Linked DNA regions of Oreochromis niloticus. The protein of the gene in region 1 binds, or shares a complex with, the protein of each later gene. Links are inferred from orthologs where the notes say so. Each region holds a gene or a part of one and is shown on either strand. Other genes may lie near its edges.

Evidence for each region.
Region 2: dis3l (region 1) and exosc10 share a complex: the UniProt entries of both Homo sapiens proteins name them as parts of the RNA exosome complex. The link is inferred for Oreochromis niloticus from reciprocal best matches to the Homo sapiens genes DIS3L and EXOSC10.

The regions. Positions count from the first base shown.
Region 1 is NC_031965.2:3,297,293-3,313,981, forward strand, and holds the start of dis3l (DIS3-like exonuclease 1), read left to right. Parts: upstream 1-7,602; 5' UTR 7,603-7,747; coding exon 7,748-7,877; intron 7,878-10,848; coding exon 10,849-10,999; intron 11,000-13,865; coding exon 13,866-13,994; intron 13,995-15,539; coding exon 15,540-15,675; intron 15,676-16,689. UniProt on the Homo sapiens protein: Catalytic component of the RNA exosome complex which has 3'->5' exoribonuclease activity and participates in a multitude of cellular RNA processing and degradation events.
Region 2 is NC_031984.2:22,528,054-22,544,945, reverse strand, and holds the start of exosc10 (exosome complex component 10), read left to right. Parts: upstream 1-9,314; 5' UTR 9,315-9,402; coding exon 9,403-9,528; intron 9,529-10,045; coding exon 10,046-10,182; intron 10,183-12,587; coding exon 12,588-12,711; intron 12,712-12,798; coding exon 12,799-12,903; intron 12,904-13,091; coding exon 13,092-13,251; intron 13,252-13,581; coding exon 13,582-13,690; intron 13,691-13,787; coding exon 13,788-13,863; intron 13,864-13,952; coding exon 13,953-14,063; intron 14,064-14,188; coding exon 14,189-14,332; intron 14,333-16,401; coding exon 16,402-16,592; intron 16,593-16,703; coding exon 16,704-16,860; intron 16,861-16,892. Other genes in the region: cntn3a.2 (contactin-3), read left to right, coding at 238-350, 478-646, 1,519-1,616. UniProt on the Homo sapiens protein: Catalytic component of the RNA exosome complex which has 3'->5' exoribonuclease activity and participates in a multitude of cellular RNA processing and degradation events.

The DNA.
Region 1 (16,689 bases):
CTATCCTGTCCTGCACTCGTACGACGCTGCTCTCTTTCTCTCCCTTCACGTGGGAGCTCTCCATCTGTTTTGTCTATAATGTGTTACTCGTGCATTTGCCCTAAGGACAGAATTCATGATGCTTTGTAATGGCCAGCCCCATCGCCCTCCCTCCTGTCCACTCTAAAGTGCCCACTAGGCAGAACCACTTAAAAATGTTTCATGTTGCTTTTCTTCCTGCTTGCTCGGCCTTTGTTGCACGATGAATAGGATGCTGAGAGCCGATGGGCTGCTGGCCTTAATGGTCTCTCCTTTTTACCTCCACCTTATGAGCTATTTGAATTGCATGGCTGATGTTTTGCCATTGCCTCATCCTGAGAGAACAGAGCTCAAACTCTTTGACAAATTCTCTCCATAATTCATAGCTTCCCCCTACACCCACACACAAACCTTTTAGCAATCAACCAGTTATTCTAATACCATATATAACACTACTTGCTATTACATTTTCCTGCATCTTTTTTCTAATAACCAGCATAAGAAGCTCAGGCCACAAGAGCTGGAACTCCAATATGACATGTCCTTGAGAAACAACAGCTAGCGTTCTCCCATTTATCAGCACTGATTACATGTATTGATCTGACAGAATATGTAGGATTCCCTAGAGAAAGGGGTCAGCAAACTGGAAAATCAGCTGCTGCTGCTGCTGTTGCTTCAGCACAGTATCGTGGTCTGTCCACAGTAAGATGGAAAGATCACATCAGATGCCAACGACCAGCAGCTCTTAGGTGAAAGTCAGCATTTAACAGGCTCCTGCTGCCAAATTTATTACCTAGTAAATACACAACAGTAATTCAGTGACATGGCGCCATCCCACCAATAATCTCGCTGATTTATCTGGTCATGTTTAAGAGTCTAATAATGTTAGTATACAAAATAAAGTAACAGGAAACTGGCTTTCTGCTGGCATGAAAGAAAAGGACAACACTGCCTAGTTTATGAATTTTTACAAGACATTTGTGCATAAACTCGAACTTTCTTCCTGCCCAAACCGTTTATCTTTTTCAAATATTGCTTGACGTGCTAGATGATGTAAATGTATTTTCTCCCTTTCTCAAAATGAGCATGAATATAAAAAGCATTTTGTGCCAAAATAGGAATGGAAATGGAAAGTCTGGTTTAATGTGCTAGTAGACTGACAAACAGTACTTTCAACACTATGCACATACATCATTGAATTTCAGGGACAAGAAAAAAAAATCTTCCACTTGTCCCACAAAAGCCCAGAGGAACAGCACACTGCTTCCTCTGATTTTCCTGCTGTATACTCTGTACCGAATCAGGTATTTAATGGCTGTGATTGTGATTGCAAGGCGCAGCGGACTATTTGGTTTGTATGCATGGGAGGATATCTGGCCTACAGGAACTATTTTCTACTGGCGACACACTTCAGTACCCTCAACAGCCTGTTATTCTTTAAACACTGGAATTATGTTTACCATTTAGGGACTAAAACACAAGTGCAGCAGTGTTGAGGGACTATTAAGATGCGGCCTATGGAGGAGTCAAAGTGTTGTTTGACATGAGCTGAAGAACAGATTCTCAATCAGTGACTCCTATTAATACAGCTGCAAGCAGTCATCTGCTCTGTTGTTCTGTGTTCTTTTGTGATCTCCTGGATGAGTTGTCAATCACAGAGTAGCCATGGTAGACCAGCAGCTCCTGGCAAGGTTCCCCACTGCTCCAAGATTTCTAAATTTGTGGATGATGGCTCTCATCATAGTCAGTGACTTTCTTTCTTAGTCGATTCTTTAGATTGTAGCAAGAGTTGCTTTTAGCAACCTTTTAGCCTACTTCACTTTGTCAGACAGGTTTTAAGTGATTTCTTGATTCAGCTGGTCTGGCAGTAATCGGGTGTGGGTGTTACTGGTGAAAGTGAGCTCAGCGTTCCAAAACTTACTTCCAATACTTTTTCACATAAGGTCAGGTAGGTTTGGATAGCTTTTTTTTCCTTAATAAATTAAAACACAATTCAGAATCTGCACTTTATTTCTTACTTGAGTTATCTTTGTTTAGTAATAACATTTCTTTGATGCTGTGAAACATTTAGGTATGACAAATATCCAAAAAATCCCAAAAGAGATAAGGAAGGGGGAAATACTTTTCATAGTACAGTAAATACCACTATAATGGTTTGGCTTTACTTAAAACAGGTTTGGTTTTGAACCATCTCTTCCAAAGTATTTCAAAAAACTATAAAATAATCAACCCACAACAGCCTTCAAACTAACGTTCATCACATTATTTGAACTTTAGAATAATCTTTAATCTAAATAGAAAAAATTAGATGTTTTGTAAAAGCACATCAGAGTTCACATTATATGATGACTGCATTAGATAGATAGATAGATATCATTTTAAATCAAACATGTAAATATAACAGAAATAATAAGAGAAAAGAAAAACTTCAAAACATCAAGTTTTCATGAAAATATCTATATCTACACAAGGTTCGTGCTCGAAGAGGATTGGGATGAAGTTTTTCTGTTCCTACCCCCTTATTTCACATTCCATTATTTACAAGTCAATATTCAGAATTTGGAAACTGAAATCAGAGGATCGGAAATCCGTATGTACTGTTACTACACAGCTGCAAGTATTAGTTAATGTGGAAAAATGTGTTACATCTGCCAAGCTAAACATATCATCATACAATGTAAAGCGCCTTCAGCCAACTGTTGTTGGCGCTGAAACTGAATTCAAGTGAAGTGAATTGATTTCAGAAGTACCTGCTTGATGAGCAACAAAAAGGAATTATTTTGTGTTTGTTTGGGGGGGGGGGACTTGATAAATGAATTTTGTCAAGCTTTGCACTGGAAAAATGTATTCTATGAAAAGATAAACAAGACCTCGGGGCATTTTTTTTATTTGTGTTTTATTTGAATCTAACAGAAAACCCATGAGGGTTTTTTATCATTATTATTTTTATTTAAAGTGCACTTTTTTCTTTTGACAATGTGGATTGACAGGTGTTTGATATAATAAGAAGGCTGTTTTCTCTTTGCTCATATATTTTTCTTATACTATTTTTTTTATCTTAAATTTTTGTTATTTCTTTTTAAAATTCAGCGTTGCGTGAATTGATCATTTAAATCGCAAATTTCAGAACATTATCTAGCCCGAAGACAACTGGGACTACATCTGTACATCACACTGCTCTCTTCTTTCTGTCAAACATTGATGCAACTCACAAGCCATGTGCTCCTGACACTGAGGTCTATAAGTGAGCCTGCAGCCACCTAACATCGCTCTCATTTACTTTGTTTTTCTTAGATAAATGCATTTTGGATTTCTTACAACCTTATCATCTTGCCAAAGGAGTGCTAGTGGTACAGCCCTGACCTGCACATGGTTCTGAGAACTTATGGTCTTGAACTGTCGATGCCACCCACACAGCCTCATCTTAAAAAGTAAAACTCATTTAATTAAAGTAAGAGCCCAGGAGTCGTCAAAAGCTGCATTACTATTATTGCAAGGGCATGTTTGTGACAAATGCCAACCGTGACATATTGCATAGCACTACAGCTGCGCAATAAATGTTAACTACTTGAAAGCAGAACACAAAACAGAAATTGAAAAGCGTCTCTCTTAAGAACTTGCATTTTCTTTGTGAGGCTCTAAATTGACATATATCACTCTCTCTACTGACTTTGAACTTTACATCGTCACCGAATGCAAATATTCTATTTATTTCAACCAGTGGATGTAACGTTCAAAGACACGCAACCTCCGCATACACAATGGAAAGCCTCGTGGACCACCTCCAGGTTTATGTGTCTTGCTCAAGATCGCCATCTAGCGCTGACAGCTCGTTAAACTCTGCCTGCTGTGACTCCTCAGGCGGATTCGGTGGATATACTACAACAGCAATAATCATTCTGTTGCCCAATTATCATCCTAATTAATAAAACTTAACAGTTTCATCTCTTTCATAAAAGAGTCTGGACTGCTGAGGACTGTCTCAGTGCACAGTCACACCCTTTTAACACCAACAGGAGCTGACTGCAATAGCAATTGATCAATCAGCTGCTTAATTTTTGAACTACATCCACATGTAAAAGAGTCGACTGTGTTCCTGTTAGGGGATCTGAAGTTTAGCCGTGGAGCTTGTAAACTGAACAGAAAAGTGGGGAGATTAACAAAGAGCCAACTTGCGGTAAACAGGGCCAAACCGTACAGTGACGGGACAGCAGAACAGCTCAAAAATTAGTTATGAAACTAACTTTTGGGGGAAGCCAGCCTCATATTATCGCCAGAAAGACAACAGTTATTAAATCATTAAATCGCAAGAAATAGCAAGAGGTTATTGTGCTTATATGGTTCAAAATCTGGTTCAAAAGTGCTCATGTAGCATATATATATATACATAGAGAGAGAGAGAGAGAGAGAGAGATTATTAATATTAGGAAATATAATTACAAACTGCTTCCTGCGGAATAGTGATTTTTCGATATCCCCCTTAAACGAATAACTGTGCGTGTAGAAAAACAATGATAACATCATTTTTAGTGCTTACCTTTAGCGGGGATGCGTCATTTTACAACAGACTTTTTCAAACGATGCCGGTCCATAAACACGAGTTAAGTCCTCAGCATCTGTGTCGGAGCACTTCTCAACTTGAGCGCAGAATCTGTGCTGGTGCTCTACTGCAGCTCCTCTCCACAGCACAGCCAAAGAGCAGCAGAGGCAGCAAGAGGAATGACCCACTTCGCCTGCTACTTTGCATTGCTTAACAACCACTTCCTCCGCTGTTTAACAACACACATTGGATCAACTTCAAATATTCATTTTGAGCTGCTACTCTTTTCTTTCTTATATATGAGCTGGAGGAGGTGGCTGGGGAGAGGGAGGTCTGGGCTTCTCTGCTTAGGCTGCTGCCCCCGCGACCCGACCTCGGATAAAGCGGATGAGGATGGATGGATGGTCTATAGTTATCTAAATATTTACTATTAGCTCATAATAACAAGTGTTTCTAGCAAAAGTAGCAATAAAACAGTATGAAAACACCTCGTTACAAACAGAAGTTGAAGGTATTTCCCTTCTTTGTCAGGGTCATTACTCCAAAAAGTAAAGAAAAGTAAAGTAAAAAAATATACCTGACCTCTACCCACTTTGTTTCCAGCAATGCCCCAGGTCAAACCAAGTTTTGGTGGACCAGGGTCTGGTGGAAAGCCCGAGTCTACCAATGCCTGGCCTATTACTGGTACACAGTACGTCTCTGCCAGACCACTTGAGGGTGTCCCACTTCCATTACCCAGTTATCCCAGAAAACACATGCTGACTGCCTACACCTTGAACACACATGGTCTGGTGCTTCTGTTGCCCCCCAGCGTCTGCAGCCACTCTGACCTGTGGAGACATTGCAGAAGACAAGGGATGAAGGGATTAGCAGATAAATAACTGAGAGAAAAGGAGCATCATACCAACAGTAAAATATCGCTACATCTGTCACTACAATCATCTTCCTCTGCTTGTCCACCACTACTATGTTCGGTTGGTTTGTCTGTCGGTATCTGGAAGTCCCACAGGATCTTAGCTTGGTCATTCTCGACCACCTTTGGGGGCATCTCCAATTTTGACCTCAGGACTTTCAGGCCATACTTGGCACAGATGTTCCTGTATACCATGATTATGGCGTTCCAAGTATGGCCTGCCTGCTAGCATCCTGCAGCCTGCTGTTATCTGCTGGATTGACTCTGTACACAGCCTGCACCTGGGGTCTTTGCCTGGTGTGATAAACCCCAGCCTCTATGGATCTTGTACTTAGAAGTTTGTCCTTGTGCTGCCATGATTAGTGCCTCTGTGCTGTCTTTCAGTCGAGCTTTTTCCGGCCACTGGTAGGATTTCTGGAAATCAGCCACTTCCTCTATCTCATGGTTGTACATCCTGTGCAGGGGCCTGTCCTTCTATGATGGTTCCTTGTCTTGCTCCTCTTCTTTCTTGGGTTTCTGCTGCCTGAAGTATTCGCTAAGCACGCAGTGAGTTGTTACTATCTTCCGGATGTTTGTTGCCTCATTTGGAACGTGGTTCTCACACTCACTAATCACCGGCCGCCTTCCTTCTGCTTAGCATACAGCCTCAGGGTGAAACCCTCCATGCATGGTGGCTTTTATCTCCTCCTTTGGTCAGCTTATTATTCCAGCAGTGCAAAGGTGTTGATATCCTGGATCTTGTTATTACCATTCAGGTGACTCGGCAGGACTATGCCAGTTCACACCTGGCATACAGCTTGATGTCATCCATGTAGAGGAGATGATCACTGCTCCATTCTCCATGGAGAAAGTGTATTTCCTTGGTGAATCCAGCATTTGATGGTGACTTTGTTATTGGAGTTAGCCTCTACTGTTGTTTGCCACATCCCCATTGAGTTCCTAATGAAGGCTCTTAGTGTCCTGCTGATCTTGTATAGTTCTAGGCATTCCAGGATTCATGTGTGGGGCATTGAGTCATAGGCCTTCTTGTGGTCAATCCAGGCAATCCAGTAAACACAATGGTTAGTCTGGTCTTACTGTCTCGGGCGACTGCTCTGTCTACCAAGAGCTGGTGTTTCGCTCCTCTGGTGTTTCTGGCCAGTCGTTGGCTGCTGCACCCATTCTGGGTATTTTACTGTCTATGCATTTACTCTTGGCTTGTAGTTTGGTATCAAAATGCCAAGACTGCAACACCAAAAACACTCAGCTCCCTTTTTCAGTTTGGAACCTCACTATTAACTAGTTGTGTTACTGAGGTTACTGAAAAGTGAAGCCAGTGATGTTTTTGTATATCATGGTTCCATTCATTAAGTATAAAACAGGCAATTGTGACTGACAGTCTCATTCATGCATGCAGTGTCCTCATATTTGCAATCCACCATGTGTCATATGTTAAATAAAAAAAACAAACAAACATACAAACAAAAAAGCCCCTCAAACTCTATTCTACAGAGTGGGTGGGTGACATGACCATGTCACGGCTGCTGTGTTAATCTTTAATACACATTCTGTCTCTTTCATATGTTTTAAGAATTTTTCTTTTACTTTGGTATTACATTTAAATGACATAGAGATTACAGTAGCATCAAAATTGTAACATTTACACACTGTTTTAGCACTAAAACACTAAAAATGTGCAATATAAATGAAGCCTTTAGTATACATCTGTAGTATTCCTTGATGCTTCGATATTAATGTAGTTTTGCTTAAATTTGTGGAAATGGTAAGGTTTACTATAATTACTCGATAGCATAGTGATTAACATACTACAGTGCTGTAGTGTAGTTGTGTCAGGAAGGGCATTCGGCGTAAGACTGCCAAATTAAAACATACAGACAAGGGAGCAGCTCAGATTAGCTTTGACTCTAATTGCCAACATGAAGATGTATATGAATTAAAGGCTTTAACTTTGCTGCATTTGGACAAATGGTAATGCAGCTTGGGAGCCTTAAGAGCTGATATTAGTGTTGGCTCTTATATCGCTGATCCGAGTCAGTACCGAGGTCATCAAAAAGACCAAGAATTCCTATTACTGGCCTGGGTGAGCGTCCGACAGCACTTGAACGCAGCAAGACGCGGTACTGCTTGGGCGTCATGACGTCAGCAGTCGTGCCTTTCCTTCCGTGTTTCCCTGAACTTTGCCGTGAATGTTTACAACCGCGTCTTCCCGCGTTTTGGCAGAACAGCAAGTTAGCGAGCGCCGGCGGCTGTATGTGGCTCATTAGTGAGTGTGGACGATGATTAAAACGGAGAGAGTCCTGCATTTGAAAAGCTGCGTGGGGCGGAAGGTCCGAGTGGTCCGGGAACACTATCTGAGAGAGCGGGTTCCCTGCTGCAGCTCACTGTGTCAGGCCGACTGTGTAAATGGTAAAATCAGCTAAATCTCAAATTCACAAAAACAGCTCTTTGTTTGCTGCTATAGAAGTATCTAACGTTGCTGTTAATGCAATACTGGCAGGTAGTGGTTTGGGGGCGTACACAATCAAATGAGGAAAAATAACTTGTTTTAACACGTAATTTTTATTATATTATATTTTGCTTCACTGTAACATGAATCGTGAAATAGCAAAGTACATACAGTATGACCCAAAGCTAGAATTACCTTGTATGACAGTTAAATGGCAAATCCCACCTGTGCACAGATAAGAGGCAAGGGGTGTTGTGCCAAAAAGTGATTGTCTGCCAAAAACTGATTTCCGGTATTTGCCGAAAACTGATTGCTTGTATTTAAACTGCTATAAATAACTTATTGGTCTATAATATGTGAAACATATGTCAAATGTATCCCTCATCAATGATATCAAGTCATCTTGAGCAACAAACAACATTCCTGTAAGAAGGTAGAAGCCGCAATCAGTTTTTGGCAGTGACTTTTATATAAGCTTTATTTATAATAATAATAATGGATTGGATTTATATAGCGCTTTTCAAGGCACCCAAAGCGCTTTACAATGCCATTATTCATTCACGCTCACATTCATACACTGGTGGAGGCAAGCTACGGTTGTAGCCACAGCTGCCCTGGGGCAGACTGACAGAGGCGAGGCTGCCATATCGCGCCAGAGGGGCACTTAAAATGCACTTAAAAAAATTCCTGTTCACTTTAAAAATGTCTCTTTTAAGAGCAATCTGGCCAAGAGGACAGCTGAAATTGCAATAAAAGCAAAAATAGTTCTGTAAACATATGTTAAGTGACAAAAGGGAGCTGACTGGTTATAATGTAACCAGTTACAAAGATACTTGAGAAACAGGTAATTTTTTAATTTTATATATAACCCCTTTGTAATACCTGTTCACCAAAGTCTATTTAGCAACATATGTTACGATATTACACATAAAAAAACACACGGAAACATTGGAAATCAGTTTTTGGCAGGCAATCACTTTTTGGCACAACAGTGCACCAGTCTGACTTTGTCTAGGTCAGGTGTAAAACCAGTACTTTGTTCTGCCCATACAAGCTACCGATCTGAGACCAATGTTAAATTAATATGCGCTATTCCTCACTGTGAGGAAGAAACTCTTTGATGTAAGAGGCAGTCAGGATGCACTCAAAGATTCCTTCCTGATTTTGTAAAATGTTAGTAAAATGCAGCAAATGAATACATCCAAGAATATACGTTTAGTGAGTTAGTGTTTATTGGTTAAAAAATACATTTGAAGGGATGAAAACAAAAAGCATGTTTTTGTTTTCACTAAATGTATTTGGACTAGTTAATTTTAGCTCAGTGTAAGAATCTTTATTGATCTGTGCTTTATGGTTATGACAGTTCTTCTTTCACTGCTCTCAGTCTTAATCTAAGTGCACATCTTCATATGCATGTAATGCATGGAGTGGAGCTGATGAGAGACAGGTGAATTGGTGTAATATTAATCAAGTTGACACAATCAACAGTACTATCGTAAGTACAATAAAGTGTTCATAGTAGTTGTTAAACCAAATATATTTAGTGAGAGCATGAAAGCAAGAGAGAAAAGCCAACAGGTTTGTAGAGCTTTTTAGTGATGTCCACTCACTTGACCACAGTTTGTTAGAAGCATTCAAAGAAAAGCTTTGGGCATAGCAGGTGTAAAATGCCTCCAGGCTGCCAGCTCTTTTGCTGTTGGTTTCCTTCATGCTATGATCAGCTGGTGATCTGCTGCTGACAGTGGGGATGTAAACGCAGAACAGTGTAGAACTGGACAGATTAGAGCGTTGTCACCAATACCTTGTTTTGCTTTTTGAGTCTGGACTGCATTGATATGTGATCCAAATACTGGATAGGTGCACCTGTAGTGAAGAACAATCACTTAAGCTTGCACATTTGTGCTGCTGTTTAGTGTTTGAGGTGAGAATGATCAGCGCTTTTATGAAATATCAGTCCGAGTTTAAGAGGTTTTATCCTGTGTATATTGACTTCATCTTAATCCAGATCTTCCTTGTGTTTGTAGGTTATACAGCACACTGAAAACATTGTGAGCCACACCTCATGTCTTTGCATTTTGCTTGGAAAATAGAAAATAGGTGCAACAATTTATTGAAATATCTGAAAACTTAAAAAGAAATACATTGTATAAGACATGCCAGGTTTATGTTTATGTCAAGTTTTAGGCTAATAGTGCTGCGGATATCAGCCTGTTGGTGAAAAAGCACTATTTTATGAATGTCAGACTGCATTATCTTTGGCATTTTTCATAGATTCAGCTAAAGAAATTGGAAAAAGATACAATGTAATTATTTAATTATTTATTTATTTTTGCTGTCTTATAATGTCTAGATATAATCCTGGTTCATCCCTTGAGTTAGGTGTTTTTTATGAATGATTCATAGGTTAGGCTTAACAAATTAAAACAAAATGAAAATAGTTGGTATAATAACTGTGAGTGAAAAACCATCAAGTGTCCAAAGAAAGTCTTTTAGAAAACCTGGAAAACTGCCGCGGGGCAGCTCACTGTTAATATGATGGGTCATAATCAAGATAGACTGCATTATAGTCTGCATAATAATAACTTGTACCGAAATATGTCAAAGTAACAATAAATGTAATTTTTTGCCATATAATATGCTGATGATCATCTGGTGTGCAAATAAAGTAAAAACAAGTATTTTAAAGGGAGTGATGTGTAAGCACAATAAACTCTTTATATGGGACATTTTTGAAAATATTTAAATGCATTTCTCTGGATGTACATCGATTCCTGTAATCTGTGCAACGTTTAGTAGGAAACAAGCAAATGTAAAAGAAGGATGCTTTTAAGTGTCTTTTGGCACAGTTGATAACATTTCCAATAGGAAATCAAGCAAATAAAGAGCTGTAGAAACAAGAATTTATCGCTGAACATAGATCTTCCCAAACAGATGGAAAGCTGCTGCCCGGAGATTTGACCCATTATGTGGTGCCTGATGTTGCTGTCGTAGTCGACTACCTGGAGATCTTGGAGTTCAGAGAGCTGCAGGGCATCATCTTCACCCAGACTGCTTGCCAGGCTCTGCAGAACAAGAATCGCAGGTACAATTGTTTGGGTTTTTTTGTTTTTGTTTTTGTTTTGGCAAGAAGATTACTGGGAAGTAAACAGGTGAGTACTGATGTTCTGTTTTTGTTATTTGTGGCCCCTTTTGTTACATGGAAACTGTTTTAGTTCTTCATCATATAGCTTTTGAACACTTAGCCCATGTAGTGTTGAAGAGACACATTGACCACTGAAATCAGTAAATGCTGATCCATCCATCCTGGATATGTGTTATCCAGTCTGTCGCAGGGCTAACACACAGACAGGAGACAACCATTCGCACTCACACCTACCTAATTTTGTGTTTCCAATTAACCTATCCCCACTAACTGCATGTCTTCGGACTGTGGGAGGAAGCTGGAGAACATGGGGAGAACATGCAAACTCCACACAGAAAGACCCCGGCCTGATGATGGAATTGAACTCAGGACCTTCTTGCTGTGAGGCAACAGTGCTAACCACTGAACCACCGTGCTGTAAATGCTGATATCAGGCAAAATACCAGCTGATACCAGTATTAGGCTGATGAATTGGTTAATCGCTAACAAGTAACCAGCTCTTTATTCTATGTATCTTGTAAATGGAAAGGAGAATACTCCACTTTTTACTACTTTTTAGCCAAACACAGTAAAACTAAACTAAACTGGGACATGGCTCTGAAGCTAGCTAGATGAATACAAACATCTCAGCTTGCAGCATAAGGAGCTTGAACAGACATTTGAGAGCTACCTGAAGCATTTTGTGTTTTTGCATCTGTGCTGTTTGCACCGTTTAAATCAAACTCTAGTTCATTTTTCCTGCTGTTCGGTTTTGTTTGAGCAGATGTAAACATAGTCATTTCACTCTCTTACATGCCAACATAACGGCACCAGTATATATTAGAGGATGTGGCTTTGGTCCAGTTTCAAACGTACTCCAGTGTGGTTTTTATTATGGTGAGTACTTAATCCGACCTCAATCTGACCCAACTACCTGTTGTACCCTACAGGATTTAGCGAAGCATCTTCTCTCATGTAGGTCGGTATAATTTGTATTCTGGGCTGTGGCAGAGTAACAGATATTCATTAAAATGAATGCAACTTCTCCGCGTTGTTAACTATCCCCAAACACGGCACCTGCTTCCTGAAATACTCAGTAGCCCATCTGGAACCAGTAACCTAGCCGTGCTCAAAGTCTTTTAAATGACTTTCCTCCCCATTCTGATGCTCTTTTTGAATTTCTGTTTGAAATGTTGGAGTTGCATTCATAATTCATAGTCAAGCTGTTAGCTGTGTGCCCAGCTTAACCTAGCTACACACGTTTTTAGACTTTGACCAGGGGTCAGCCTCATTATATCAAAAGCTCTGCTGACAAAGCTAAAAGAGACACAGCCTGTGACTTGAAATATGTGTCCAGCATAAACATGCAGGAGAGCTTTGGACAAACTTGATGAGCACTGTAAATAAGAAGTCCCACGTGAACTCGGGTTTCAGTCCAGTTTATTTCTGATTTGTGCTCACACAGCCATTTTACAGTGTTGCATCATTAATATGATGAGGCTTCACTTTGATAGTGTTCGGTGGACATCTGGTGAAACATACAGAGTTGTCATACTGAATCACTACTTACTGTTTTCCATTGACTTTAACGTACACGGCAAAGAGAAAAAAGCTTCATCGTGGACTCTCTTTGCAGTTTCACTTTTGCAGAATTGCTGAATTTTCTATACATCATCTTTATTAGCTCAACTAGAGATCGGGGCATTTGTAGACCTTTATTTCTCATTTCATCTGTTTGATCAGTACAAGTGTTAATTTTTAGTGTAAAACAGCTACTGCATGTACTCTGCTGTTTTAGTTCACCAAAAACTTTGATTTTTTTTTAACTGGGCTTTTATTGTGAAACTCAATTAAAGGATAACAAAGCCAGGTGGCATCCTCTTTCACTAATTTCAGATCAGGATCTTATGTTTAGGTCTATTGCATATTATATAACAGGCAACTCTTTGTTTTGTTTTGATTTTTACAAAAAAAGAGTTAATTTAAAAAATGAGTCTGTGCCAAAATGAACAAGGGAACATAAATAAAAAGTTAAGAAAAGTCAACATACGTTGCTTTGATCTGTTTTTTCTCCCTTGTGCTTCAGGGTTAACGTTCTGTTAACATCCCCCACTGATAGGTTTGTGTAGCACACACCTATTGCTGGAATGCCAAGACAATTCTACTACAATGGCAAAAGCAAGATGCAAGTCACCAGAGCTCTTTGTGTTGCTCGTGCACGAGGGAGAGAACTGTGACGAGCGCTGTTCCTTCCGCTCGAACCCCAGTCACTCTCAGTTAGCTCCCCCGTAGCACTGCTCTTTATTGTGGTTACATGAATATGCATAGGTTCATTAACATATGACGTCTTACACAAGCATACATGTGAACAAAGAATACCGTCTGTGTGTATGTGTAGGTATGCGTGTGTGTGTGTGTGTCAAGATGTGACCCTGTGAACGACTCCCCAAAGCCGGTGCCAGGAGTCCAGTGGTCCACCTAAACAAAGGGCTCTTATACTTAAACAGATACAGAGTAGGTGTCCTCCCATAGTATAAATCAGTAAGAGAAGGTATGACCTCTCTCATGACCTTAGGATGTGTGTGCATGACAGAGTGCTCTGGAAGGCACACAAAGTCTTTGCAGACTACTAAGGATCAGACCTTTATCATTATGCAATCGATTATAAACCTCTAAGCATATATGAATATATATTTCTAAGCATAAATGACAATCCACAATATAAACCTAACACCCACCATTCTCCCAAACTAATGATAGGGTTTCTTGAGTGTAATTTATGATTTTATTGAATGTACTTGTTTTTTTGTCATGTGCGTTTGTGCAGGTATTACAACCGGCTGCGAACCCTTGTCAAAGACCCTCGACACGACTGCGTGCTGTTTGCCAATGAATTTCAGAAGTACGCTTACTGTCCACGAGAGAAGGGCGAGAGCCAGGAAAAATGGCAGACCAGGTCGGTGCTCATTATTTACCACACTCACTGAAGTGTTTACATTAGCTTGTGCTATGCTACAGTCAAGATGCTGCAGCACATGTATCATAGAAATAAAGTCTTTTCCTTTCTCATGTTTTCCTCTTTGTCATGTTTTTTCTTGTACTTATACTTCTTTGACTTCCTTTTGTTTTTCTGGGTCAAAGTGTGACGTTACATGTTTCACTATGTGAAATTTGTAAATCTCATTAATTAAAATGGAGATTATGCTAATTAAACATATTCAGTTCAGTTCAATTTTATTTATATTGAGCAAAAATGCCAACAAAAATCCCCAATATTGCCTATTGCAGCGTAACTAAGGGAGGATTCAGGGTCACTCAATCCAGCCCTAACTATAAATCAGAAAAGAAAGTTTTAATCCTAATCTTAATAGTCGAGAGGGCGTCAGTCTCCCGTGTCTAAATAGGAAGCTGGTTCTACAAAAAAGGGCTTGAAGGCTGATGCTCTGCCTCCCATTCTACTTTTGTAAACCCCACAAATAAGCCCGCAGTCTGAGAGCAAAGTGGGTGTGTAAAATGGGTTTGATTATTCAAGGCTTTTATGTGTAAGAAGAGGAATTTTAAATTAAATTCTGGATTTAACAGGGAAGCCAGCATGGGAGAAATATGTTCTGTTTTTCTAGGATTGGATTAACTGAAGGTTTTTCAAATTATGTTTTTAGGACATCCTGATAATCATCCAATCACCCAAAATGTCTTTGACTGTACCTCCTGACTACTTCTGCTCAGCAACTCTTGAAAGGAAATTGTGTTTCTAAAAATGTCAAGTTGCCATATCTGGGTTTCAAAAAAATATTTTGGGAAAGTGACATAAATGTATAGTTCACATGTGCGCAAAATTCATCTGGGAGATTTAATTTAAGAAAGTTTAAAATTTAAACATTAAATTTTAACTTTCTTTCAAATTGTGCAACAGGCCAGCGGTGCAGATGCATATGGCACTTAGAGCGCATGTACTGGCTAAGATGTCAATCAAGCATTCCTAGTGTTTTGTCCCAATAGGGGTTCAATGGGTAAAGGGGTAATTTTAACGTTTTAAAAAATGTTTTTCCTCTACTTCAGGTAGAAAACAAGTGCAGGAACAAAGAAATCAGGAGGACTTGTGAATGGCAGCTTAAAGTTATTAATATTTATACCAGTTTAATACAGAAAAGCACCAAAATGATTTAATGAGTGTTTTTGATAATAGAGACTTTGTTGTAATGTTAATCATGATCTGACAAACTTTTATGTTGTGCCAAAAAAATGAAACTAGAAGTGCAGTGTGTACTCATGAAATGTGTTTATTATATAGATAAGGCACTCAATTATTTATTATTTATATTCTTTCTGTGGAAGCACCATTTGAATTACAAGTAGTGTGAAATTATAACTACCACCTACAAAACAGCAAAAACTTAGTGGGAGATGTTAAAGATTACTGCTTTAGCGGGTAATTTGCCTTCATGCATCTTATGCTAAACTTGTGAGTTCATTTAATGTGTGTGTGTATGTGTGTGTGTAGGTGTGTGTACTCAGCTGCAGTGTGGTACTACAACCACCTGGCAGGAATGATGAATATAGTGATGATCACTGAGGATCCCGAGGCCGTAGCTCAGTTCAGCAGCCTCACGTGTGGAGTGTACGTCATCTCTGTCCAGGTATATGAAATGCCTTTATAATACCATCTACTCTACTCTATATCAGCTTCTTATATGTAGCCACCTTACAGGGTTTTATCATCATGCATTTAGAGAAACTCATGGTTTGAACACCTAAAATTGAAAGTCAGCTCTTTGTGTGACATTGTAAAGTCGTTGTGTTGGAACCTATGTGATGGAACAATTGGTTGGTCTGTATTATTTCAATAATCTTCAATGGGACTATTGTAGCATATAGTAGGCATTACGTTTTGAAACACTTACATGTTTGGCAACAGTATTAGTGGTTATTATCAAACTTTCAGTCATTACACATGATTTCCTGGTTAAGCGACAAAATGTAAATATATGTGGCATTTAGTCTGTCTACATACAGAGAGCTACACTTTGTTTTTCAATTCGTGTCGGCCTAGCAAGCATGCTGTGGTTGTATAAAACACAGTGACAATGAGTCAGAAAACTATTAAACTAGTATGTAAATGAGAATTTAACTAAAGTTGAAGGTCACAGCGTCATTTGTGACGATCCGAGCTCTATGTCAGAAAAAAAACAGTTACAGTTTTTACCTATTTGTCGACACACTGGTATCGCCATTTAAAATGGTCAATAAATGACAGTTAAAGTAAAGAAGAGAGTGTAGAAACACCCTTTAGCCATGTTATGGGTATTGATATTGTATGTTTGGCTTTACAGGGTACTCTGCATCTTTCCTCTTGGCAACGTGTTTGGAACGCCGCAAACACGAGCAGAGAGTAAAATCGTACTGATACCAAGTCTGATATTTATTTAAAGAAAAAAGAGAAAAGAGCAGTACTTCTACATGCTAATAGCCGTCAAATTAATATTACATCACTTTCTATTGTGATACATTTTTGATACATTGCTGCCAGATTTGTATATTTTTATCCAAATTCCTGCCACTTTGACTTGCCACACTGCAAAGTACTTCAGGATTCCTTCATGAATCGTTGCTCTGTGAGATTAACTGAATCGGTGCTGTGGCTAACATGTACT
Region 2 (16,892 bases), on another chromosome or scaffold:
TTTGATGTGATGTGTTGTTGCCATCAAATTCAAAATGAGCTATTATATTTTATAAAATATTAAAATGTCTCAGTTTAATTATCTGTTATGTTTGCCTTGTTTTATTGTGAATACACTGTTGGTTTTTATTTATATTTTACACAGTGTCCAAAATTTTTGGAATTGGGATTATACACCAATGTGACACTAATGTTTCTGCACTGATATAAAATTGTTAATAATTTTTATGTCACGCAGCACCTTCCCAGCCGCCAATGAATGTGGGATGGAACCTAATGGGCTCTCAGCTGTCTGTTTACTGGGAACCCGTGGTGGCAATGGAATCAGAATCAGACGTTTTAGGCTATCAAGTGAGTTTTACTTTCTCAGTTCCTTTCACAGGAACTTGGTGCACCGGGTAACCACGAAGCTTATGCGTTTGAAGTTGTCATGGTGTTAGAAAACATATTTACAACCTTGTTTGTGTTCCCCTTTCAGCTGTCATACCAGAGGCAGCGACACAAAGAGGTAATCACACTCACAACGGTCAACGCAACAGCAGAGCTGACTCTCCCTGAGGACGATGAGGAGTACATCATCTTTGTGCAGACACTGAGTGAAGGAGGACTAGGGCCGGCATCAGATCCCATACGAATCCACCAGCTAAGTAAGCTCGGTGTTCATGTTTTGTTAAGTTGCAGTGGTTAAATGATCAAAAATGAAAGGCTGAAAGAATAATTTGAGTTTTCCTCATACCCTTCCCTTTAAAATATGCTGCTCTCGTACCACAGAGGAACACAGACAAATGCCAAAATTTGACATATGAATTCACTGGGACCTTTTTCTTTCTTTTTTTTGCCCATTTTTGTAAATAAAGTCACTTAACACTGTCAATCTGACAGGGACACTTTGTCCTCCCCTGACCTACCATTACTCAAGGCCCCAGCCCACCCCCGCTGCGCTCTTCGGCGCTTATAGTTTGCTGAAATATGCAACACAATCCATCTCTGTCACAGACTCGCTTTGGCTAGATGCTATTGGTGTCCTGTGGGACTCCAGCGGGGGCTGTTCCCCTGCCCTAAATGCTACTTTGCATTGTTGAACTTTTGTGTCGTATCCCTGAAAACAGCAGTTCAGAGAGATAGAATTCAACATGTTTTGGGGGGTTTTTTTGTTAAATGGGCTCATCGTTCCCAGAGAAGCAGGAAACGCGCTGTCTGGCAGAGTCATTTTTATCAAGTATATTATATAGTGAGAAAGCAGCGATTGAAGCAAACTGCATCAGTGTTCTGGGTCCTTCACACTCACTTCCTCTAATACATTTTTTACCCATGCACTTAAAAGCCAGCACATAAACGAGTTTGGACCGCATTTTAAGTACCCCCATGAAACGTCAGCATGCATATTTTATGTTTTGACAACCTAAGCGTGTTATTCTCAGCAGCTGACAGAGCAGAGAATTGAAACTTTGGGTTAGAAATGTGTATTTCAGACGGATGTCAGCCACGGTGCTTTTACCTTGTTTTTCTTGTATCCCAGGTATGAGCGCCCGTGGCTCCAGAGCCTGCAGTGTGGAGATCTCCCCCCTCTCCCTGTTCCTCACCATCGCAGTATCCTCATTCAGGTCATCGTTGTGACACAAACAGACTCTGCTCTGTTTTTTCAGCATTCACTATTGGCTCTTGTTTTGTTTTGTTTTCTTTAATTTGTGAAAGTGGTCAAGGTTTTTTCTTTTCTTGCATTTTTTTTTAAAGTACCGCATATTTTTTTCAAGTGTTATTTTGCAAGTATGCAGCAGCACAAGAGAAGAGTGTGCTGTCAGACACTTAATTAACAGTAAACGCTTGCTTTTTTTTTTCTTACATAAGTCTGTTTTGCCACTTTTGCTGGTTGGGAACAATGCTCCATTTCAACTCTTTTTTGACTCTAGAATGATACAGATGCCTTACTTCCATTCATGTGCCAAAGTAGTTTCAGCCTTCTCGTTGTTATTGCTAAGATAGCTACATGCTTTCCTCAACATTTTATTCCTCACTTTTCTTATCACGAAGGTCTCAGTGAACCTTGCAGAAAGCCCTGAAGAGAAGTTTATGATTGTTTGTTTGTTTCCTTGTATTTCTGAGTTTTCAGTTCTCTCCAAAATCAGAAAGTAGGGACATGTTCATTCACCTGCGCCCGTGCCTTGGAGATTCTTGTATCGGCGTCACTTATAGACACTGGTTAGTGGTACTTTTCAGAACATACTGCAGCCATCTCCATCTTTACGTGATCCTTTAAAAGTCGGTTGTGTCCCAGATGAAACTCATAAAACACCTCATAGTGCCGTTGTCCTCCATTTACCTTTTATCTTTTGATTGTGCGGAGCTGAATGTACCATGAAAGCTCCTAAAAGTTTTAATGCCTCACGCTAGTTATAGTTATAGCCTGCCGAATGATGGATTTGACTTTGCTCTGCGTTCACAAATTTTACATTTGCTTGTATACAGCAGTACCGGCAGAGGTGTGTAACTGCCAATGTAATTCCTTTTTTTCCAGCACCAGTGCTTCAGCAAACTTAAACAGCAGTCATTGAAGTCATTTATCAAAGAAAAATGACAAATGTTCACCGGCTTCAGCTTCTCAGATGTGAGACTTTGTTGTTTAAGATGTAAAACACAGCAAGGTGTACCTTTTATTACATTTCCCTCCACAGTGTTCAACTTTGAATGGGATTGCAATGATCTGCCAACAAACCACTATATGAAATCAAAATTAGAGGGTGATCTAGTTACTTTTGTATCGGATTTTCTAATCTCACTTTCCTGTTTTCACATTAATTTTTTGGAATATGCAGTATTTCCTTTATCTCGCTAGGCTAAAGGTTTTGCCTGGACCCTGTACTACAAAGTGAGTTCAGCATACTCCGGGTATTTCTCCAGTATCAGAATTCAGTTATCCTTACGCTTGGTAAGCTGGTTATCAACTTGATAAGTCAACCCAGGGTTTAACCTGCACGTTCTCGCAAAATGATCTGCATGTTCTCTGGCACTGGCAGCATTTGGCCAATCACAGAGAAAAGAAGATAAAACTATGCAATGGGAAAAAAATGAAGAGGTTAAAAATGAAACAGTCTGAAACCAACACAGCTGCTGCAGCGTGAGGAAAAGCGCTGTACAGTAGTTTAGTATTAAAAGCGCTGTATGAAAGCGTGAGCATTTAGCCTGTTTGAAGCCAGGACTGAAAAAATGCCCACTGTGTAAGTTTACTGAATTATCAATATCACAGCTCTATCATTAAAACCCAGGAGAATCTGATGGGTTATAATTGAATATTCCCTTTAATTAATGTTTAAAAGACAGTTTTAGGTTTTATTCTTTCTGCTGCAGTCCTGGTGGTGTTTAACGGTCCGAGAGTTAAGAATAAATATAAAATATAGATAAGTAGCTCCTCTGTTTTAGGATTTTAGGATCACATATTAACGCTTTCAGAACAATAAAATTGTTGTTAAATTTATTCCTGATGCTGATCAGGGAAACTCAAAGATTTCCCTTTAGACCCTCCTGTTATCCACAGATGTGAGGGATGTTTCAGGAATCATGATGCTGTTTTTGGAGAATTGATTAATCAGTAGGAGGTGACTTCATACCTGTTGGTTGCTAAAATGGAACAAAAGCTTCTTTAGCTTCACAGCATGAGTTACTATGACGATAAAAAGCGAACCACCTTCATAGTACAGAAAACCCAGGGTTAACCTAAAGTTACCTGGATAGAAATCCTCTGCTTTGTAGTACAGGCCGCTGGTTACTGACCTTTGATAGCACGAAGAGAAGCAAAATGTCATTCAGTCTAATGTCACATTCAAATGGATATTTCCACGGTTGGTTAAAAGAGAAGACTGATACCACTCTCATGTTAGCACACTGACAATGGGACCAGTGCGTAAGCATAGCTTAGCAAACCGTCAGCTTGACTTTGTCCAGTATTCACAGCCAGCACCTCTGAAGCTCACTTATTTGTTTACTTCATCAGACGGGGCACGTCAGGTAGTCGGAACAAACAAATTTCTCTATCTGACTAAACTGACAATATCAACAATCACTTCACACCCACTTCACGCTGTGATTTGCCAGCCGTGTGGAGGTGAGAAAGCAAGCTGGGTTTGAACTTCTCTGCCGCGTTCTTTTATTTGTTAAACACCAGTGTGTTTACACGGAAACATTGCCAGTACTTTCAGTTAAAGACTCAAAGTCTCTCTTGGACAATTATTGCATTTTACACCTCACGTCGGTGTCAAAGAAAAATTCTTATGCTTCCGACATGGTTGAATTTGCTCTTTCCTAACAGAGCTTGGCACTGGTTCTGTTGTTAATGCACGCACAAGGGTGGTATAGCATCTCTATGATAGAGTTATATAGGTAAGGTAATACAGTTTAAAGAAATGACACAAATAATCTGAACTAAGGAGTCTCTTTGCTTGTTTGGAAGCTTTCAGCTACATTTCTCTCCTCCTGTCGACTGAAAGCTCCATGAGTGAAGCTTATTTTGTCAAACCAGTTTAATGCTGATGAGCTAATTTATAATAAAGCAGCTGCCTGGTTACCAGATGCGAAGACACACCTAGGCTACGTTCACACTGCAGGCGAAAGCGCATCAAATCCGATTTTTTTGACCCTATCCGACCCATATCCGATCATGGTATGACAGTGTGAACGGCACAAATCCGATATTTTCAAATCCGATCTGGGTCACTTTCGTATGTGGTACTGAATCCGATACATATCCGATGTTTTAGAAAGCGACTGCTGTTTGAACGGTCATGTCGCATTAAATCCGTCTTTTACGTCACTGACACAAGACAGACGCCAATTATCAGCGCCGGAGAAGACATCGCGAACGCTTCCTGGCCATCCAGTGTAGATGTCAGTGAAACTGTTGGGAAGACAACGTGAACATTTTATTTGTACTGTATAATCTGCAGATTCTGACAGAAATCTGCAGCTATCCTTTGAAGCACCGCTCCTCTAAAACAGCAATAAGGATCATTATTAGGTTATTTACATTATTATGTAAATAACAAAATAACTTAAAGCAAAAATTGGGAAACGTAAAGTCCGAAGTCTTTATATTAAAGGCCATCAGTCAAACAATATTGTTTGCTGTGGGTCTAAACAGCGCGTTGTGTGTGACATCTTCTTTTGCGCATGCGGGCCGCTTTGAGCGTTCACACTAGAGCGCGTTTGCTGTCGCATTTTATTTGTAGTGTGAACAAGCAGACAAAAAAATCGGATTTGATCAAAAAATCGGAATTGAGCATTAAGACCTGCAGTGTGAACGTAGCCCTAGTGGCCAATCAGAATCCAGAACTCTCATGTCTTTAATGTATGGCATGAAAAAGAAAATCCAATATGTTTGAGCTTTGAAACAAACAAAATGAGCAATCTGTGGATGTTGCCTCGAGCTCTGGGTAAGAGGGATATACATTGTTCACAGTTTTCTGAGTGATTAATGGGAAATACAACTGACTGATTAATCAATACCGAAAATAATCATTAGTTGCAGCCCCAGTCTACATCCATCTGGGACCACACAGCCAGTGCCAGTCAGCGTATATTCACAGCCATTGCAGTCGGGACGAGAGGTTTAAAGCGCTGCCAATTGTGCCAGTCTGATAATTGAAATCTAGCCACCAGCTTAGACATTATTTGGCTAAATGTGTGGTCAGCTGTGTTTTTAATACTCTGTGAATCTGTCCTTTGTTGTCAGTCGTATTGGTTGTTTTTTTTTTTATGTGGTCCGTGTTGTCATTGTTTATTTATGTATTTCAGCGAAACCCCGCAGCTCAGGTATTCAGACCTGCTTCACTTCATCTTTCAATAGCTCTGAGATGGCAGAAGCGGATAGATCTGAAATGTGTCAGCACAGGACACAGGGGTCTATTTAACAGTCTGACTTGATGAACGGAAAGCCTGATGTGTGCCAAGATTTAGCAGACATTAAAACATCTTAATAAATTAGAGCAGCCCTGCGGGGTTTCTGTGGGGAAAGGGCATAGGAGTAATGGTACTAATGACACTCACAGAAGGCGAATATATCAGGATTTAGGGAAGACTAAATCAGGACAATCTCATCAAGACGACACGATGAAAGGTGCGTGCGTAAATGTGTACGAGCATGATTGTGCACGGTTATTACCTTAGTCTGCCACATCATGGACAAGTGCTTTCAGACAACCATTTATCTATTTGCGGGGGGGGGGGGTAAACTCATTTCTTGTGCTATGGTTCAAGGCTTTGTGCGACTGAAGCATTGCGGACATTGAACGAGAGCAAAACAAGGTCAATGTGGGAGGCAGAGATTTTTAAAAAGTGAGTTTGACTCAGGGAGGAGTTGAAATGTCTTTCCAATTAACGCGGATTCCCGGAGCGAAGGAATAAGTAAGATTTAAAAAGCAGAAAGGGACCCAAATCCAAGGGCACATTAGGTGCATGTTGCAGGTAAAGCTCACATTAAATGTAAAGGTTTACTTCCCCGATGAGTGTTGAAGCTGTCTTTGAGTCCTGTTTCGTTGTTTTCGTGGCTCTACGTGTGGTTAATCTGTATACATTCTTTCATCGCAGAATGACATTGTTAGACTAACAGATGTTTACACAGGAAATGCATCATTCTGGCTAATTTTATTGATTATATGAACTGATAAAAAGAACTTGTGTCTTTGGGTACATAGAAGCATTGCCAACCTCTGTTTTGTAACGTATCAGTACTGTGGAGATGTTTTGAGTTTGACTTTGATCTTCTTCTTCTTCTTCTTTTTTTTAATGTTTGATATGGTTACTGATTGGGTTTTTTTCCCTAAAGATTCTGCACAAAGGTCAAGTGTTGTTTTTAACAGAACAATTAAGAGCCAGAGATTTCTAAATCAAAAGTTGGTGCGCTGAGATCTCCCTTGCCTTCATAAATGATGCTGTACATAATGTAAGTATTTCGTTTGGCTTTTTTAGCAACGCCCCCCGCCCTCCCCCAACCAGGAAACCAAACAGTGCTGCTTCCAATTGTAATTCTCAGTCAAACCCTGAATCTGAAAAATACATGAGCAGAGAGTAACATTTCCTAGCAGCTGCTATCACACACAGCCTTTTGGTGCAGTGACACAAACACCTACCTGTTACAAGGTAGCCGGCCAGTGCACAGTGGATAATACGAGTGGTATTATTTACGAGTACTTTTTGTCTTTTTATACCAATACAGCTTTACGATTTTCAGAAAAGGCAAATTTGATCCTAAAACGAGTGCGAGTAGTTTCATTGGATTTATAAGTGCGTACAGACTTTACGATTACAGCTCTGGGTTACAACGCTTGGCCTTTCTGTCGTGACTCCTCAATATGTTCATGTCGAGGTGATCTCCGTGAGATCGTGGCAGCAGCGTTTTCACATTGAAAAGTCATCAGCTGATCTTGATATGCTGAAGCTGTGCATGTATGATATCGTTTGGTGCATTTGTGTTTTCTAAATGAGGGAGTTAATAAAAACAATTCATTGAGGGTTCCTGTCTTGGATTTTTTTAAATCTTTTTTTTCTGAATTATATGTGTGCTGCTGTCATTTTCAGCATCAGCAGTTTTAGTGTGTTTTACTGCAAGACTGCAAGACTTTGAGTGGTGCCTTGGGGCACCGTCAAAGCTATAAAATGCATAATATTATGAAAAGGCGTATAAATGGAAGTAAATGTCAGCGGTAATGTCCTTTTCGGTGGCTAAAGAACACATCTAAAGGGTGTTTTGTTGGTTTTTTGCTGAATATACTAATTGTATTCTTACACTGTATAATAAGGACTGCCCTCACAGATATCAAATGCTTTGAATACTAACGTCACACGCCATATCGAAAAAATACAGTCTACAGCACACATCAAGCAGATGGCTTTTTTACTGTAGCCTTCACAAAGAGTACTGCTGAATTTCTTCTGGATTATTAGAGCATGTATTTGCTGAACTTCAGATACCTTCCACTAAAACAACAGAATGACAGGGAAAGCTGCTGTGAAATATTGATTGAGCCCAGTGTTGCAGAGATGCTTTTAAGATAATAAGAGGGAGAGGACCCTGTGAAGAGATCAATATGAAGGGGAAGTGAAGAAAAGATAGGTTTCTCCCTACATACCACAGATCATCCGTAATGAGCTAGTGTGTCAATACTTTGGCCGGGGCTCCTCGCATACCACTGACCACTAAAGAGCACCAGGCCACTGTAACTTGTCTGCAATTAGTGGAATTTTACACCAGACTAAGGGGAATGTATTTATGTCCGATTAGTATACTCATGGTGGTCACCTTAGCTTGAAAACTGCAAAGTGCTTCGTATTCAAATATCCCTTAGAGAGATATTGGCTGAGACATGATTGGTGTATATTGCCTCCCAATGCAGCAGATGCTGTGGCACGGTTGCTGCGGATTGCAAATGTCAATACTGCCCCCTAATGGTCCCACCATCCCAGTGCATCTCTCCAGGGTGAGGCAGTAAACTGGACATGAGGCTGTGCCTGCAGTATGACTGCACCGAACAGGTACACTGAGGACCAGAGACAGAACACTCAGTCATATTCTGATTCATAACCAATATTGAGTCAGTTCACAGTTTTAGAGGTAGAGGTTAACCCTAGAAAATCAGTATTATTGAAATAGAATTGAAGAATTTAAGTGAAAGTTATATCACAACACCAGTGTCTTCAAGGGGCTTCATATTGTAAGGTAAAGAGCCTACAATAACAGATGACCCCCTATGTTAAAGCACTTGGTGACAGTGGGAAGGAAAAACTCCCTTTCAACAGGAAGAAACCAGCAGCAAAACCAGGCTCAGGGAGAGGCAGTCATGGGGATGATGGGAGGAAGACAGTTCAGTTTAATTTATTGTGCCAAATCACAATAACAGTATCATTAAGGCTCTTTGTGTTGTAAGATGATGACCCTACAATAATAGAGCAAAAATCCCAAGAATCAAACAATCCCTTGTGAGCAAGCACTTGGCAACAGTGGGGAGGAAAATCTGCCTTTTAACAAGACGAAATCTCTGGCAGAATCAGGCTCGGGTAGGGGCAGGCATCTGCCACGATTTGTTGGGGGTGATGGGAGGAAGTCAGGAGAAAAGACACACTGTGGAGGAGAGCCAGACATTAATAATAGCTGTGGTGTGGTGTATAAACACAGAGTGTGAAAATAGGTGAATGAAAAAGAAACGTTTCCCAAGCCCCCAGCAGTCTAAGCCTAGCGCAGCATAATTAAAGTCAAAAATATGTGCATCCTGTCTGTGATACGGTCCGCCTTGTAGTGGCCCTTCCACCCCACACCGTTAGGTGGTGCTGTCTGTCCCTCGGCATTCAAGTGGCCCAGAAGAATCATCGAAGAAACAAGTTGTTTCCTGCGGTACACATGTACACAGCACCAAATTAAATGATGGCTTCTTCAAAGAAGAAAGATTTAAAGAGCAGTGGCCCTAAGGACAGTAATTCGGACACCAACGACGAGGACAAAGACGAGTTGTGTCCCGGTTTCAGAGACGTGGACGCTTTTGTTAAAGTAAGTAAACAAATCTGGAGTTCATGCTAGCAGGCAAGAACGCAACGTGGATGCCTGATAGCTGGTTGAAAACATACACAGCAAGCTGTTGAGACAAGATGACTTTTATACAGGTGTTTGTAAAGGTAAAGGTCGACGTTACGAGTCTGGAGTGTCTTTGCTGAATCGTTAGAAATGTGAAAGTCTGTAGTTAACAGTTATTATCATGCAGTGTAGCAAGTAACGGACGAAAAGTGATAGAAATCCAGTCCTAAAGTAGCTAATGGGACCAACCACACACTGTATTAAAGTCTTTGGTTAAACAGCCTATGTTTATATAAAGTCAACAGAGCCAGCAATGACAAAGTTCGAGCATTTTAAATTATGCAATAAGCACTATATCCATGCTGCTTTTCCCTGTGGATAAACCTTATTTTTCCCTCAATATGATGTAATAACAGTAAGTAATAATGAACATTTCAATTTATTGAAAATGGCTTTAAAGCAGTAACTAACAGCTCTATCTTTTTCTCTACAGCATGGGTTTGGTGCTGTATTATCAGCCACCAAAGCATCTGCCGGCCTACCTCAAGCTGGGGATGAATATGATTTCTATCGGAGCTTCCCAGGATTCCAGGAGTTCTGTGAAAGTCAAGGAGATAAGCTCCTGCACTGGTGAGAACATAGTGTGTTCTTGCATTATTTTATTCTTTAAATTCACAGATTCAACAATGCATTCAGTGAGTTAATCAGAATCAGAATACTTTATTTATCCCTATGGGAAATTATGTTGGTTACAGTGCTCCAGTACAAACAGTAACAAAAACAGACAATACAAGAAGTAAGAAATAGCACAATATATACATATGTATATGTATATATATTTTATATACACTACAGTGTATAGGAACACTACAGTTTTGCAGCAGTACACTCCACTTATAATGAAAACCGATCTTAATGATAATCAGACCACATGAATGTTTTACTTTTTAAACCTTAAACCATATCCGTATACCAAGCATATTTCAACTCATTTTAAAAAGTAATTTCCATCTATACCCGCTTGCCTCTAAATGTATATTACATTCTTACATCATTATTTTTACAAAGTACTTTGCAAAAGTCTCGAGCAACCCGTCATTTCTTGTCGGTGCAGCAGTTTATTGAAACATGCAAATGCAGATAAAAATACAGTATATAAGACAGAGACAGTTTGTACATGTGTCTAATGAGTTTGAAAGTCAACATTTGGTATGATCGTTTTTATTCTTCAACACAGCCTTAAATCTGTTAGGTAAGCTCTGTTGTAATTTCTTTAAGTAGTCTTCGAGAATGGTTCTCCAGGCTTCTTGGAAAACATTCAGGGCTCGTCTTTGGCTGCCCTCTGTTTCATGACAGAGGATCCACCATGTTTTTCAGGTGGCTGTAGACACTCACGGTGTAAGACCTGTTGCCACTGATTTTCAATCCAGTTCTTATGTAATTTGGCATATTCTCATTCTCTCCCTGTTTTCCTTAACAATGGCTTCCTGACAACCATCCTTCCACTGAGACACTTTCTGATTACTTTAATCCTCTTTACCTGTTGTACATAGTTTTTAATGCCTACCACTATTTCCTTGGGCCTCCATTTTTCCAGTTTCATTATTTTTTTTAAACAACATACTCCACACCATGCCAGGGTAGGCCAAATTTTCAGCTGATAGCTCACTGGGAATCACATTGTTGGTGCAGAAAGTGCTATTTTTATGTCCGTCAGACATTTCATTTCACGGGCATAAACTAGCGTTTTTCATAGATTCATCTACAGAAATGAGAACAAAAAGATGTTTTTTAAACAGGCTTCTAGTAGCAAAATGCCTAAAGATACAGTTGGCTGTGTGCCAAGTTATGTGTAGGCACAGCACTGGTTCCCCCTTTCAGTTGGGTGCCTTTTTAAAGCTTGCATGAATCATAGGTCAGTGTTAAGTGGCCTAAAAAAAATATTTCTTTGAACATGGTCAGATACAAGTACTGGTACTAAAATCAGTGAAAAAGCAGCCAGTGTCCAAAAGCCTTTGAAATACTTTGAGAAAGCCTGGAGAGGTATTGCTCAAGAGAAAAGCACTTTAAAAAAATAGCAAGAAGGTCTGGCTTCTTGGAAACGAAATACAAAGAAATGAACTCAAGACTTTTGCTCATACGCTACATGTACATGTGATGCTTCTAGCAAACACGATCAGTGATCGTTTGCTTCGACTGATGATGGGTTATAAACGTAACTGAAAGTAACACACCAGTATTAAGTTGTTACGTGTTGGTTTTGATATGTGTTTGGGATCAGTAGAATCTACAGTGTTTTACTGACTAATAGTTATTGCTTAGTCGCTCGCACTAATTAGAAATCTGCTGACATCTCAGTATAAAAGAATGCATGAGGGCAGCTGTAGACACGATAACTGGTGCCTGATATCGGTCACGGCCACCTCAGTTCCTGCAAAACAAGCAACTTCTCCCCACCTGTTTTAACCAATCAGATAGATGCACATTCTCAGATAAGACTTTGTGTAATGCCTAGATAGCTCCTCTCTTTTGGGAAACTGGCTGCAGCTAACTGCTTGCAGACTGTGGTTTTCTGAACAGAAGAGATCCATAATCATCCAGTGCTTTAATAAATACACCAAAAGGTGAAGTGTATCGACTGGTGATTCCTAAAGGTGGATAAACAATTGTGCGACATATGGCACTGGGACTTCTTACACAAGTAGAGCGAAAACACAATGATAACTATAAATAATGCAGCATAACAAAAGATCTATCAGCCTTAGTAAGCGATCAGACCCATCCAGGATGCAGACATGGCTGGCTGCCTTGTTATTAGAAACTCTTAATTGCTGGACCTCTAGATTAAAACACAAGGTAGCAGTTTTCAAACTAAACAGGGGTCAGCAAAGGTTTCCAGAAGTCTCCCACGAGGCTTTAGTGCAGACGTGCCCTTTGACATGCATGCAGATGAGTTGTTTTATTGAATAACTAACCTGTCACTAGCTGTGCATCAGTAAGCAAAATGTAATCTTTTCACTGTGCCTTTGTGTTAGTATGAGTCAGATAATGCAACACCATGGATGCAGATCTCACATGAGAGACCGGAACAAGCTGACAGGGCTGGAGGAGAGGTTCGACTTGGTCGTGGACTCAAATGACGTTATCCTCGAAAGAGTGGTATGACCCGCAGCGTGGGTGTCGAACGAGTTTCTACACGAAAAAGTCTTTGCAAAGTAACCCTGAGCTCTCATGTCTGATTTCCAGGGGATTCTTCTTGATGAAGCTGATGGGGTGAACAGGAGCCAGCAGCCTGTCATGCCTGCAGGGTTCCAGCCTCCAAAAATTGTCGTTTCCAGCTGGAATCGCAAGGTTGGCTAATTAACCTCTCCGCTATTACACTGCAGATGCCAGTGTCTGCTCTGGGCCGAATTCAAGAAGAAACAATATGTGCCAGACCTGGCAGTTGTTTCTTAAATCTCACGCACACACAAAAAAAAGTTTTTTGAAAGTTTTATGTTTGTTCTACACTTTTCCTAAACAATGCTTTTATTGATCAGGGGTCCAGTTCTAGCAGTCGTTCCGAGACATTTCGACTGCTCCATGCCAAGAACATCACACGACCTCAGCTGAAATTCAAGGAAAAAGTTGACAACAGCAACACGCCTTTTATACCCAAGATCTTCATCAAGCCAAATGCAGTAAAGCCACTTCCATCTTGTAAGACATGCTTTTCACTCTCATATTCTTCCTCATCCTATTGATTTCTCGTGTCAAGTTTTTGATTACAATATAATCACTTTAACGCAGGGATGTCAAACTCCTTTTATACCAGTGAAACTCTGATTTCTGTCAGTGAAAAGAAGTCTAACTGTAAATTTAATGTCTTGATGCATGCTCATAAAGTTAAAAAAAAAGTCTAATTTTCCAAAGCCATCCAGTGGGTGAGAGCGGCGTCTTTCCTGAGCTGATTCTCACCCCCAGGCCTTATGTTTGACACTCCTGCTTTAGCGTGTCAAACTTATTACCTTTCCTGTTCTCTATCCATAGATTTTACCAACAAACAAATGCGTAAAGAGAGGCCTGAGGACCTTGATGTCCCAGCTGCCCTGGCTGACTTCATCCACCAGCAAAGAACTCAGGAACATGTTGATGACATGTAAGCCTTCTACCTTGTTTAATATTCACATCATATATTCTTCCGTGTTTTGTTTTTTTTAAATGTGCAACTAAACTTGGGATTATGATCCATGCAGGTTTGCACACCCATACCAATATGAATTGGACCATCTTACAATACCAGAAAATCTTCTGTCTAAGCCAGAGCCTCAGGTAATACACTCATGTTTAATGTGTGATTCCTATAATATGATGCTGTCACTGTTGGTTAGGCCTCTGTCTAATCTGTGGTTTCTTTTCAGATGTACAAACCAGTAGCTGAGACAAAGTTGTCATTTGTTGATACACTGGAGGATTTGGTAGCTCTAAATGAAAAGCTGTGCAAATTGTCTGAATTTGCAGTGGACCTGGAGGTACAAAGCTCATATGCATAGTGTTGTGGTCCCTGTAATGTTAAAATTTTGCATCACGAATTTGTTCATTTGGACATTTTTGGACAAATTTCACTGCTCACTTTCTTCTTTGTTCTTCATCGCAGCATCATTCCTACAGAAGTTTCCTCGGCCTCACCTGTCTGATGCAGATCTCCACCAGAGGGGAGGACTTCATCATCGACACCTTGGAGCTCCGCAGCGAGATGTACATCCTGAATGAGGCATTCACTGACCCCTCCATTGTCAAGGTAATGGAGACACTCCCCAGTCATTTTCCCTCTGAATCCTGCTCTGCTCTATCAACAGCAGATGAGATTACATGTCTGGTTAGATTTGGTTTGAGGTGGGCAGCTGCACAGTTGGCGGCTGTTTTTAAAATTTTAATCTCGGTCCTGAATTTGTTACAGTGCAGTGGACAGGCATGACCTGTTGTTCTGGTACATGATCAGTGCAGCAGATAACTGGAATAAAAAATCTGTCTAAAGTGGATAAAGTGTCAAAATGTACCTTTTTTTGTGCTGCATACTCTGTTATGTTGTTCCAGCGGTCCAATGACAATTGCAGCACCAGCGTGTCATGCAGGTCAAGGATTGCCTTTTACAGCTTTGGTAGCACTATGATGCATACAGTTAGGTTCAGCCAGTTAACATTCTTCTGCTGCCATTTTTTTCCTGTTCAACTCAGTGAATTTCATGCATTCTGTTCAGGAAGACTCTTTTACCCTTTGCTCAGCTCTTGTTATCAGTTTCTTTTTCTTTAAGTGTTTTTTCTTTTTAAACAGGCCAACACAAAGAGGCAATTTACTGTCACACCAGCAGCCATCTTATGATCACCAGTTAAACAGACAGGCATGTTTGGACAGGTTTAAATTTAGATTGTCCCGGTGCGAGGTGACCGATGCACCACAGTCGTGTGTCAGTTATTTGTGATATTGGCTTACTCATGTAACTAATCAAGTTCGTAAGGTTAGTTAGTGCTTTGCCCTCTCTTAGTTTACTATATGATACATGGACTGTAATTAATATAGCACTTTGTTTTACTCTTAGTTTGATACAGGAGCTAGGGATCGAACCACTGACCTTCTGAATAGTGGACAACCTGCTCTAAAACCTAAATTACCATAAACAACATTTTTAAGGGCCACAGGCAAGAATTGGGTAACCAGTGGGAAGTCCAAGGGTCCATCTGGGAGATATGACCATAACAAATAATCGTACTTGTAGTACTACTCCGCGCACACACAATTGCTAATTGTAAAGAAAAAATCTCCTGAGTACTGTTGACTTGACAACTCGTTGCGACAGATGGCTGTCCCTCCCCGAGTCTGGTTCTGCCAGAAGTTTCTTCCTGTTAAAAGAGAGTTTTTTCTTCCCACTGTTGCCAAGTGGTTGCTCAAAGTGTGTCATTCAACTGTTGGGTTTTCTCTATATTGGGGGGGGGGGGGGGGGGGGGTGTTGTTTGTAAAGCACCTTGAGGTGACTGCTGTAGGGATTCGGTGCTGTATAAATAAAATTGAATTGACCTGATATGACTTTTGATTGGTTAAAAGTGCATGATTTGACACTAAGGTCATTCAAAAAGCCAAGTCCAGTTTACTGTATCTTGGGGAAAAATCATATACCCTGTTGGGATTTATAAATAGCTTATGAGCATTATCAATAAAGTGATCAATAAAGTTTATCAGTAAAATGATCATAAATGGGTTTACACACCAGTTTTTGGTGTTTATACCTACATGTGAATGATTTCCCTGTAATGTCAAATAGATATTTAAAGAGAAGCAGTCTGGTGGTCTAACTACTTGTCTTTCTGTTTTTTAAAGCCATGTTGCATAGTGCCATTACTTTCCCACATCTCAGAACTGAAAATGCACTTAAAATAGCCCCAAGGGAGTGTATTTTCCTTGGGGCTGTATCTCATCATCTCCTTTTTGATATTACATGGAGGCCTTTTGAAAAAAAAAAAAACTTCACCAGTGTAATGATTATAAGTTTGTAAAGTTAAACCCCCCTGAGCCGGAATTTGTTTGAGGTGTCCTTATTATTTTCAAACACGTCCGATAAAGTTGGCAGGCGTCCCGTGGTGTGTGTGGGAGCAGACATGACTCACTCACTGTAGGACACCTGTGAAAAAAGTGTGGTGCGTAGGCTTTAAACGACTGAAAGATTTGCGAAAATGATCCAAATGTTACATAGCATGTGTCCACTTTTTTGGAGAAAAAATATATAGATACAAAACGAGTCTTAATTATTTTTCTTTATTAAATAAGCTGTTCTGCACCGGTGAGGTTTCAACACTTTATGTTTTTTGTTCGTAGGTTTTTCACGGTGCAGATTCTGACATTGAATGGCTCCAGAGAGACTTTGGCTTGTATGTTGTCAACCTTTTTGACACACATCAGGCAAGCCGGGCTCTCAACCTGGCCAGGCATTCCCTCGACCACTTGCTAAAACACTTCTGCAGCGTGGACTCTGACAAACGTTACCAGCTGGCTGACTGGAGAGTTCGGTACGGTGACGACCTGGTTAATCAATGCATAGGTTTATAATTTTCGCTTAGCTTGAAGTGGCGTACGGTTGTTTTGGGGAAATTAAATATAGTCCACATTTGTCCACATAGCCCCTTGCCAGATGAGATGGTGCAGTATGCCCGGACAGACACCCACTACCTTCTTTATATCTACGACTGCGTGAGGGTACAGCTTCTCGACTTCAACCACGGACAGCCTGGTTTGCTGCAGAGTGTCTGGAACAAGAGCAGGAGCATTTCCCTCAAGGTGTGCACTTCATACACCATGAAGATTAAAGC